3 linked regions of the Ovis aries genome follow. The protein of the gene in region 1 purifies or fractionates together with the protein of each later gene. This does not show direct contact. Links are inferred from orthologs where the notes say so. Each region holds a gene or a part of one and is shown in the gene's direction. Other genes may lie near its edges.

What was found.
Region 2: the proteins of DDX20 (region 1) and SNRNP70 purify together in Homo sapiens (affinity purification with mass spectrometry; 4 studies listed by BioGRID and IntAct, counting the BioPlex papers as one, with this or other methods). This does not show direct contact. The link is inferred for Ovis aries from reciprocal best matches to the Homo sapiens genes DDX20 and SNRNP70.
Region 3: the proteins of DDX20 (region 1) and GEMIN5 purify together in Homo sapiens (affinity purification with western blotting; 6 studies listed by BioGRID and IntAct, counting the BioPlex papers as one, with this or other methods). This does not show direct contact. The link is inferred for Ovis aries from reciprocal best matches to the Homo sapiens genes DDX20 and GEMIN5.

The regions. Positions count from the first base shown.
Region 1 is NC_056054.1:89,176,847-89,180,594, forward strand, and holds the start of DDX20 (probable ATP-dependent RNA helicase DDX20), read left to right. Parts: upstream 1-1,367; 5' UTR 1,368-1,389; coding exon 1,390-1,690; intron 1,691-2,335; coding exon 2,336-2,430; intron 2,431-3,089; coding exon 3,090-3,258; intron 3,259-3,748.
Region 2 is NC_056067.1:55,351,445-55,355,092, forward strand, and holds part of SNRNP70 (U1 small nuclear ribonucleoprotein 70 kDa), read left to right. Parts: intron 1-266; coding exon 267-331; intron 332-450; coding exon 451-513; intron 514-1,158; coding exon 1,159-1,240; intron 1,241-3,648. UniProt on the Homo sapiens protein: Component of the spliceosomal U1 snRNP, which is essential for recognition of the pre-mRNA 5' splice-site and the subsequent assembly of the spliceosome. SNRNP70 binds to the loop I region of U1-snRNA.
Region 3 is NC_056058.1:63,875,167-63,878,814, reverse strand, and holds part of GEMIN5 (gem-associated protein 5), read left to right. Parts: intron 1-148; coding exon 149-314; intron 315-1,180; coding exon 1,181-1,393; intron 1,394-2,157; coding exon 2,158-2,243; intron 2,244-3,648. UniProt on the Homo sapiens protein: The SMN complex catalyzes the assembly of small nuclear ribonucleoproteins (snRNPs), the building blocks of the spliceosome, and thereby plays an important role in the splicing of cellular pre-mRNAs.

The DNA.
Region 1 (3,748 bases):
CTTCTTTCACAGGAACAGTTGATAATTAGCGTTTTATAAATTTCTAAGAAAAATGCATCTGAGGACCCCTTCCCAATGAGATTACCAAGCCAAACTCCTCCTACCTCTTTTGGAATCTGAATCATCATTGTGCGTGTGTGAGAGGGAAAGAGAGACAGAGAGAGAGAGAGGGGAAGTGTAAACTGGTGAGAGAGAATGACCAGAATTATGATATCAGGATAAAGGCAAAAGTTGGGGTTAGATGCAGAATTATCTTTAGATTTGGAATTGTAAGATTAGGTTCCAGAAACATTAACATTGGGAGTTATGATTCAGACTTTGTTATAGGAACTCATTTGTTCAATAAATATTGAGCACTTACTCTGGGTCAGATTGCTTTTTTCCAACAAGGGATATTGAAGAGAACAAGAGAGAATAGATCTCTGTCATAGAGTGGGGAGGACAGACAATAAACACGATTTCAGCTAGTGATAAGTACCATGAAAAAAAATAAACCAGACCATGGGAATAGAGTGATGAGAAAAGCTGGGGAGCTGCCAGGATGAGGGAGCTATCTCGGGGTGTTCAGGAAAGTCTTCTTTGAAAAGGTAATGTTTGAGCTGAGACCTAAAGTTGTTCTTGAGATGGTGGTGGGGAGGGATAGGAGCAACACACAGAAAATGTTAAATTTGACGTTAGACATCGAAGTGGAGGTGTTGAGACAGGAGATGGAGGTACAAGTGTGGAGCTCAGAGGTCGGAGGTGGAGATACGAATGTGGGAGCTGTCAGTGCAGTTGCTGGTTCTTATCCGATTTCTTTTATCAGGGCTAACCGTGTGCCAGGCACGGTGCTAGGGGTTGGGGACACAAAGAGGAAACCACACAGACATATATACTATGCAACGTGCTCAACCGTCTCGCTGTATTCCGGGCGCTCTCTGAGAGCGCAGAACAAGGCAGCGAGTTGGGGCGAGACAGGGTGGGGACAGGGAGGGGGCCACCGCGGAGTCCTGGCCCGGAGGCGAGGAGCTTGACGCACAGAACGCGTCACAAAGACAGCGTTGTGAGGCAGCCAACTCTGGGCGCTGGGCGGGGCGGACCCGCCCACAGAGGGCCTTGGGGCGGGGCGGTGCTCCCGTCGCTAGCGCGCGGCGCCCTCTACAGGTCGCAGGCGGCGATACGCCGGTAGCCTTTGCTTTCCTCTCCTCCCTTTTCCCGCCAGCCTCTGGTCACATTTTTGTTGTTGTTGTAGCTGTTTCCGAGTGTTTCTAAGCCTTCAACTTCCCCTCCTTTTCGAGGCCTGGCGTGTCAGTGTCTTCGCGGGAAGACTGCCAATAAAGTTTTTCCTCTTCTCGCTCTCAGGCTCCCAGCCTCGCCCCAAGTACCGCGAGATCCGGCGGCGCGGCTACCATGGCGGCTGCGTTTGAAGCTCCGGCCGCCTTAGCGACCGTGGAGACCGCTATGCCGGCGGAGCGTGTGGCCACGCAGTTCTCGTCCCCGGAGCCAGCCTCCCGGCCGGTGCGGAGCCTGCGGACGGCTCACGACATCAGCGGCCCGCGGACCCGCACTGGGGACGTGCTGCTGGCGGAGCCGGCAGACTTCGAGTCGCTGCTGCTGTCGCGCCCGGTGCTGGAGGGCCTGCGGGCGGTTGGCTTCGAGCGGCCGTCGCCCGTGCAGCTGAAGGCCATCCCGCTGGGGCGATGTGGACTCGGTGAGGGAGGGGACACTGAGGGGCCAGGAGGGCCGAAAGTGGGGGACGCGGGGGCTGGGGGTGTCGAGCCATGGCGAGGGCCGGAAAGGGCCCAGGGCGGCTGCCTGCAGGGGCACGACACCGCATTCCGCGAGCCTCTATTTCCTACACTGTCAAACCGAGGCGCAGTACTGAATTTGGAGATACTTAAGGTCCATTCCACTCTGACAAGTAGGTCTATGTTTGAGAAAAGTAAACAGTAGTAAGGATCTCGGATGAGATCATCCTGGATTAGGGTAGGCCCTAAATCCAGTGATTAAAGCCAGAGATTGGAGTTACACAGCTTCGCGCCAAAAAATGTCTGAGCCATCAGAAGCTGGAAGAGACAGGGAAGAATTGTATTGATAACCATAGAGCCTTTGGAGGGAATGTGACCCTACTGATACTTTGATTTCATACTTCAAACTTCTGGTTCTTAAGCATAAAGAAGAAAAGAAACGGTAGGGGTTCAGGGAGGAGGCCTGTTTCTGGACATGGCTTCATGCTTTTTTAAGAGTTAAGGGTAAAAACCAAAGTGCCAACGATGTGATCTCTCTGGAGACCCTTCTAGTTCTGGGATTGGTACCTAAGTTTCTTCAGTCCTAGCTAACTTTTTTTTCTTCTCAGATTTAATTGTTCAGGCTAAGTCTGGAACTGGGAAAACCTGTGTCTTCTCCACCATTGCTTTGGACTCTCTTGTTCTTGAGAACCTAAGTACCCAGGTGAGTTTAGCTCAGATGACCCAAAGGAAGGTGTGTTATGTGCATTTTACTACACGTCAGATGAAATACCAGTGGCTCCTCAGAGATAGAAGTGAATATACTTGTCATATGCCTCAGTGATCCCCTTGAGGCATATGACAAGTATACGGGGAAAGTAGACACTGAGGCTATTGAGTGGTGGTGGTATGGATGGGATAGTGACCAAATAGAAGTTTAGAGATTTCTGTTATTACTACATGTTAAATTAAACAAGTCTGCCATGTGTGTCAGTTTTGTCATTTCTTGAGAATACAGATAGGGATTTTTTAATGCTTTTATTTGCTCACCAGATTATGGTGAGAGTTAGCATTTTGCCTGATTTGTGGTAATGAGGTGCTTGGCTGTTGTTGGTAACTAGGTGGTTCTTACAGTGAATGTATTATACTGATCTCCCATTTTCTAGATTCCCTCAGAGTATGTCTAAGATGGCTTTACCCAAATTAACAGGAGATTTGGGTTTGGGGATTTCTTCGACAAAGATTTGTTAAAGATAACATGATTTGCCCATGTTATCTATAAACAATTATGCCAGGCATTGGGGCTATCTTTTTGAGTCCTACCTTCTGTATTTATTCTGCTGACTTGTTAAAGTTATATTTTATGTTTTGTTTTGTTTTTAGATTTTGATCTTGGCTCCTACAAGAGAAATTGCTGTACAGATACATTCTGTTATCACAGCTATTGGAATAAAAATGGAAGGGTTAGAGTGTCATGTGTTTATTGGAGGGACTCCATTATCACAAGACAAAACCAGACTTAAAAAGTGTCATATTGCTGTTGGTTCTCCTGGTAAGATATCAGTACCTTTTAATTACTGGGCTTTTAAGTAACTGAGCACTTTTATATAACAGTAAGAATATGGCAGTCTTTGATAACTGTGGTAGTTATTTTGAGTATTAAAGATGAAGAACATTAGATTAGTGAGATATAAACACATGACTGGATTACCAACAGAATTTATAAAATCTCCATTCCTAAGGATGTTTAAGAATAAGTATGGGATAGGCTTTTGAAAAGAAGAGTATTGAGATGACTTTCAGGAAGCCCTTCTAAGCCATGGATTGGGATTATTTTTTGCTTCCATATTGTCTTTCAGTAATGAATCACTCAGAATCACAATCTAGCATTCAGTGCCTTACAGCTCTTAACAGGAATAGTGTTTATTTTCCATACATATTGGTGATGAAATGTGAGGGAAAAATAACGGATTTAGGTAAGATCAGAACTCAAGGTTTGTAATTTGTGGTTTAGTGTGTAAATAGAGAATAGTGAGGGTTGG
Region 2 (3,648 bases), on another chromosome or scaffold:
GACTTGGGACTCAGGATATGTAGACCTGAAAAAGGGGGGCAGTAGGCTGGCCGCCATCCTGTCAGCTTGAAGTCAGTCTCATCCCTTCCTTTAATCAGCCTAAATCAGCCGCTCAGATGAGGTCTGCTGTGCTTCAGGGCAGTCGGGGCTCAGAGGGGCCTGCCCATGGTAGCCGACCGGAAGCTCTGGGCCTGTGTCCATCAGTCTCTTTCTTGCTCTGTGGTGTTGTTGATGACTACTTACAGAATTTTTTTTATCCTGCACAGGGGACCCTCACAATGATCCCAATGCTCAGGGTGATGCCTTCAAGACTCTCTTTGTGGCTAGAGTGGTGAGTCCCCAGCTCCCAACCCCTGGCGCCCTAGGCTATGGAGAGCGTGGCTGTGGACAGTAGACTCGGTCCATGGGGTGTTTGAGGGCTTCTCTCACTTTCTTTCTGTCTCCCTGTAGAACTATGACACGACAGAGTCCAAGCTCCGGAGAGAGTTTGAGGTGTATGGACCCATCAAAAGGGTGAGTGGACCAGAGCAGGGGTGCTTGAGTTGAAGGTGTGCGGAGGGAGGGAGGAGGCACCGCGCCATTTCGGGCTTCAGACGCCACGGCCTGGGTTTCTGTCCTGCCCGCACATCCATGCTGGAGTCTCGGGATAGCGGAGGGAAGGCAAAGAGGTCATGATTACTTGCTGCTGATTTAGAGCACAAGTCAGCAAACTGCAGACTTAGTGAGTGAAGTTCGTTGGTAATCTAGCCAGGCCCACTTCACTGTCTGCAGCTGCTGTTGCTGCAGGGCAGTTAGGCAGGTGCGACAGGGACTGGGTGGCCCTCCCTGCAAGCTGGAAATGCCTGCTCTCTGGCTCTGTGTAGAAAGTGTATGTTGACTCTTGTTCTAGAGCACGGCTTCATGTATAACGGACATTTCTTCATTTGGTTTAGAAGTTCCTCAGATGCTCTGGGCTCTAGCAAGGGCTTGAGGTCATTGTGCACATCATTTGCTAAGCCCAAGGCCGTTAGAGCATCAGTCACTCTGGGTCCTTGAAGGGGCCGGGGGAGGGTCAGAAGCATCTGTTGCTGGCATCATCCAGCCCAGAGCTGTGTGATTGATAGGGTGAGTTGTCCCCTTGTCAGAATTGACCTCTGCCTCCTGCCACCCACCCTCCAGATACACATGGTCTACAGTAAGCGGTCGGGAAAGCCCCGGGGCTATGCCTTCATCGAGTACGAACACGAGCGGGACATGCACTGTGAGTGGCCGCCCCGCACCCTGCCCTCTGGCCCTCTCTCTTCTCTACTGCCCCAGCCCCTTCCCGTCGTCTGTCCCCTACCCCCCCTCCCCGCCAGACCTGACATTAGCGATGTCTCTTCTCCTCCTCCCTCTGTTTCTGATATATCTTTTTTTTTTTGTTTTTTATATACGTGTTTTTTAAAAAACAAAAACCAAAACCCCCCACAACGTGTGTGTGTGTGTGTGTGTGAACCTGGGGAGGTAAGTGTCACACGTTGAACCTCAGGGGCAAGGAGGGAACCCGGTGGGGGCTAGGGCTAGTTGGAGGTGGGGGGAGGGGTCGGATTTTCGGGGAGCCTCTCCCCATTTCCCCCAGCAGATTTGGGGGCGGCCAGGTTGCAGTGAGGACTGGCCTTTGAACCTGCCCTCTCCTCCCCCCAGCTGAGCTGGGGCTGGGCCACCCGACCCTCCACCTCCCCACCCCTGGCCCTCACCCTGTTCCTCGGCGGGCAGTGGGCTGGTCTGCGTGTTCAGCGCCTGCCCCCACACCTCCAAAGCCCCCGTTGAGGCCGCGGCGGCGTCCACATGGGCAGGGCTGGGCGGGCGGGGGTGGGCAGGGCTGCGGCGTGTCCAGGGGCCGCCGTATTAATTGACTGTTCTTATTGTCACTGCAGCCACCACGCAGCTGGCTTGCAGCTGATGCTTACGCTCCCCTTACAACACCTCAGTGTATGGTTGGTATAAGGGTTTGTATCATGGGTAAGATCACTCAGCACCGCACACCAGCCCAGCTTAGCCAGGCAGCTCAGGAGCAGCGAGGCCTCCCTCCTCCCACCCCCAGCCACCCCTCCGCCTCCCCGCACCCAGAGCCCTTTCCTTGTTTGGGTGCCCTCTGTCCCTTCTGGCCCCATCCAGGTGCTCTCTGACAATCTTGCTGATCCCAGGAGGGGAGAGATGCTCCCCGATGGGAAAGGCAGCCGGCCACTCCAGTTGGCCTCGGTTTAACCCCCAGCATATCTGGCTTCCCAACGGCCACGGCACGGCGGTGGGAACGCAGCAGGGCCAGGGCTCCTGGTGGAACCCTTCAGCCCTTCCTCCTCTCCTGGCCCCTGCCCCTGCCCCTTCTGCGGGCCCTCACTGTGGTGGCCCTGGAGAGTCTTTTTGGTTGCTAGACTCGGGGTGCTCTGCTCATGTCTTGTCTGCCTTGTCACAGTGGAGCCTCCCGAGAGGCTGTGGAGCCCAGCTGCTCTCCAGAGTGCATGGACTTGGGGATTGCTGTGGGAGGGGTCGAGCGACAGGCTGTGAACAGCTGAAGGTGCTGGAGCTTTTACTGAAAACCCTTCCACTGGCTGGAGACCTAAGAGAGGGAGAGCGAGCGAAGCCTAGAGATACACACGTCACATTTTTCTCTGCTGTTCTTCCCGGGTTGGGCCTCTTCTGGGGTTTGGGACATGACCAGAGCAGGGGTCCTTTGCTTGACTGTGTCCCCAGTCCTGAAATCCCGCCCCCACTACGCTCCTCTGGGTTCAGGGGCCCAGCGGCCCCTTCCCCGTGGATCATGGGCAGTACTCCCATCTCCTGGACCCCCGAAGCTGTCCCCTTGTGTGCCAGCCTTTGGGCTGAAGCAGATGGTGGGAGGGAGTGAGAAGTTCAAGGTGGAAAAGTCATTCCATGTGCTGAGGGGGTGGGGCCTGTGCCTAGCTGAGCGTGGATTTTATGGGGAAAAGCTGAAGGTGGACAGGTTTGCTAAGGCCTCCCTAGCCGCTTTGTAGAATTCAAACAAGATAGTCCTTTCAAGTTCCCAAGCTCTATGTTAACCCTGTCTCCCTCCTCTTCAAGGCCTCCATGAGGTTTCTTTGGGGTCCACCACTTCCTCTGCCTGCCTCCAGGCGGTACAGGAGATGTGGTTCCTCGCCCCTCCGGGGGCTCCCTAGAACCCCCTGGCTCCCTCCCCCGTAGCTTTAGCTGACCCCATGGTGGTGGGTGTGGGGTCTGTGCGCGTGCTCAGGTAAGCTTGGGGGCTCCAGGTAAGCGGTCCCGTGTCCCCCCCCGGGAAGCCCGCCTCCTCGCCAGGCCCCCAGGAGTTGCCGAGCCCCCCCCATCCCGCTCGGTTTGGACACCCGCAAGGCTGGCATCGGTAAATGGCACCTTTTTCTCTTCCTCTGGTTGTTATTTGGGGGGGGAGCGGGCTGGGGCGGGGCCGGGTGTTGTGGCTGGTTGAGGATGACCCCCTCCGCCAGGGCTGGGGGTTGGGAAACAGGGACGTTTTTGGCCTCCCGAGAGCCCCGTGTGAGGCAGCCCCGGGCTTGGGCCTGTCCTTGGCTGTGTCCTGCCCACCCGCAGGACGCGCTCCTCCCCGCCTCTCCCCCCTTACTCCGCACCCTTCCTGAGGCTCAGGTCGGGCTCGGCCCTTCCCGGCGCGTGTTG
Region 3 (3,648 bases), on another chromosome or scaffold:
GCGTCTGTTTTAGAATATGTAATTTGTCTCTCCTTAAAGGAACAATGAACAGAAAGTATTTTGCAGCTGAGGGCCCGCACTCTGGCCCAAAACCACTTGTTTTCAGATTGCTCATGAAAGAGAACTGCTACTTGTTTTTCCTTCACAGAGGTGAACTGCTGCTATGGGATCTCACTCAGTCTTGGAGACGGAAATATACCCTCTTTAGTGGTTCATCAGAAGGGCAAAATCATTCAAGGATTGTGTTTAATTTATGTCCTCTGCAAACTGAAGAAGACAAACAGCTGCTGCTTTCCATATCAATGGACAGAGATGTAAGAACAGCTTATTCTGCATTCAGTACTGTATATTGGTGATTTATGACTTGGATAGGATTAGAGGACTTTTTCAGACTATCATCAGTTCTCACACCTCACCTCACCCCCAGGTTCCAATTTCAAAGTTACTGTTTCTGATTGGCATTAAATACATTAGCAGTAGAGGGAAGTAAAGGGAAGGGGAGGAACAACCAAGATGTCTTTTTGTTAAAGCAGATACGATAAGGAAGAGATGTGAGCATGAAAGGATGTGAGAGGTCATCATGGTTTAGCCTTAAAATATCCTTGTCTATATAGTTTAGGTAGCAGAATCATCTGCTCTTGGCAGAGTCTCTGTAAGAGAGAATTGGCTTTATCTGAGTAACCTTACTGTTTTTCAGTAATCAAAGCTTGTTTGATAGACTTTGTTTTCTCCCAAGTCACTGTGTTAATAAACAAGTGAAGATTAAAAACTTAGCACTCCTCGTCCAACGGAAATGATAACATATTTTGCTTTTTGAGATAAACTCTGATTCTTCCACTGTCCTAAGACCGTCATCTTTTTTCTTTACTTTTTTTTTGAGTTTACCAAATGAGATTATCAATGCTGTAATATTGTGGAAAGGCCAGTGGACTCTGGGAAATAGGAAGCCTGAGTTCTAGTGTATTGTGTGCCTTCAATTCACTTGGCATCTTAGGGGATAAATGTATTCCAAGATCCCTTTGAGCTCTACAGTTTACTGCCTTTTTTTTTTTCTAATTCCTTCTGGAATAGGTAAGTTACATTCTCCTGCTGCGCTCATTGAGCCCATTCTGTCTGAAACATTGATTGTTTTTCCCGTTTCTCCGATCTTCATAAAGACCCTAACCCTTAACCTTTTCAGGTAAAATGTTGGGACATGGCCACTCTGGAGTGCTGCTGGACCCTGCCTTCCCTCGGTGGGTTTGCCTACAGTCTGGCTTTCTCTCCTGTGGACACAGGCTGCTTAGCGATAGGCGTTGGGGATGGCATGATCCGCGTATGGAATACACTCTCCATAAAGAACAACTATGATGTGAAAAATTTTTGGCAAGGTGTCAAGTCCAAGGTTACAGCGGTAAGGATGCGTTCTTTGAACTTGCCATACACTGGTTTCAAATAACTAATTCTCTCTTAGAGAATACCTATTCACACAAATGAACTCTATAGGGAATTTACATTTCAGGAGTATTTTTGATGCAATTTGAAACTGGGAAAGCACAGGCACCCTCCCTAACCAAACGCATTACCTCCTAATTCAGAAATTTAGCTTTGTTTTGTGAAATTACATTTTTATTCAAGTCACCCTATTTTCTGATAGTAAGAAATTTAAAATAACCTGGATGTGCGTGCATTCATAGGAGGTACATTAAATTATAATATAACCACATGAGGAATAATAATGTTTGTGATTTTAAAAAAACCCACAGTACAGAAGTGTAGAAAGCAAAAATGTTCTCTTTTCCACCCTTGACTCTATTCTCCTGCTTCCATAATCCAAAGAATAATAGAATCATATTTTCTAAATTGTTCTGGAATCTTTTACTCCCCATCCAACAATGTATCACGAACATCATTTAAACATTTGATCCTATTTTTGTTTTTCAATTATATATAAAGTTTACTCACAAAAAATTTCTAGAAAGATACAGAACTGGTAGTGGGGTGGTTTGGATGGTGAAATTACAAGTGACTTTATTTTTAATACAATTTTTCTCTTAAATAATGAGAATTTGTTACTTTTAAAATTAGAAGACACCAAGAGCAGTAAGTGTTTCCAGCTGAATGCTGAAGTATAACTTAATGAATCCCTTAACAGTGCCCCTTCGTATTTCCTTGTAGCTGTGCTGGCACCCGACCAAGGAAGGCTGCTTAGCTTTTGGAACTGACGATGGAAAAGTGGGATTGTACGACACCTACTCCAACAAGTAAGAAATAGATGATCTTTATTTAGCCCATTGACCAAAATGTTAAGTGAGTTCATTTTGAGTTCATAGACCCAGATGTTTATCATAGTAAGACTGAGAATCATCTTTAAGATTCTGACTCTGAGACTGGGGCTTAGAATTCAGAATTTTATTTTTAAAACATTTTTTCAGGTTATTGTGATGGTTCAGCCCATCTGACCTGTGAACACCACTGAAGTTTTTTTTTTTCAGGAAAACATTTGCTTTTGTTTTCCCTCAACATTTTTTTACAAAAGTTTTCAGGCATCCAAGAATGTTAAGTTATACATAGGGGCTTCCCTGGTGGCTCAGATGGTAAAGAATCTGCTTGCAATGCAGGAGACCCAGGTTTGATCCCTGGTTGGGAAGATGCCCTGGAGAAGGAAATGGCTACCACTCCAGTATTGTTGAGTGTAGAATTCCATGGACAGAGGAGCCTGGCGGGCTACAGTCCATGAGGTCACAAAGAGTCAGACATGACTGAGCGGCTAACACTTTCACTTTCAAGAATGTTAAAAGCTTAGAATAAAGAACATCTCTGTTTCTTCCATTTTGAATTACCAGTTGTTAACATTTTGCCATACTTTTGGTACACTTAACAAAAATTAGCAGTAATCCATAACATGATGTAATATCCTGTGCATATACAAATTTCCTCAGTTGAGCCAAAAATGTTTTTCTAGCAATTTTTTTCAAACCTTTTTTTAATCAGGGGTCACACATTGTGTTTTTTAATGCCTCTTTAGCCTCTTCTTGTAGAATAGTCCCCCACTTCTTTCCGTAACACTGCCTTTTCAAATTGAAGATTCCAGATAAGTCGTTTCTAGCATATTCTACATTTTGGACTTGTCTAGTTAATTCTTTGTGGTGACTTGTAATTCAGTTCACTCTTTCCTGTATTTCCTATATTCCTTGTCTTCCCTGTATTGCCTATAAACTTTCTGGAACAGCACTGTGTCTTTAGTCACAGGTGGCTACTGAAGTGTGCTAAGTGTAGAATACACTTGAGAGTTCAAAAAAGAAAAGAATGTAAGATGCCTCAATATATATTTTAATTATATTTTAAAAGGTAATACTTTTTATACACTGAGCTGATTCCTAAAATTGAATTTCACTTGTTTCTGATACTTCTGTTAACATGGCTACCAGAAAGCTTTAAGTTGCAGATGGGGTTTGTATTTATGGCTCACAATATAAATCTATTGGACACAGCTATTCTGAGTGCTTGATTAGATTCCAAACCTGCACTGTTCAGTTTGGTAGCCACTGGCCACATGTGGCTACTTATGCTTAAAGTAATTAAAATTAAATAAATTAGAGATTGAGCTCCTAGTCACATGTGCCACACTGCCAGTGCTCAAGGGCCGTATCTGGCGAGTTCAGTTCA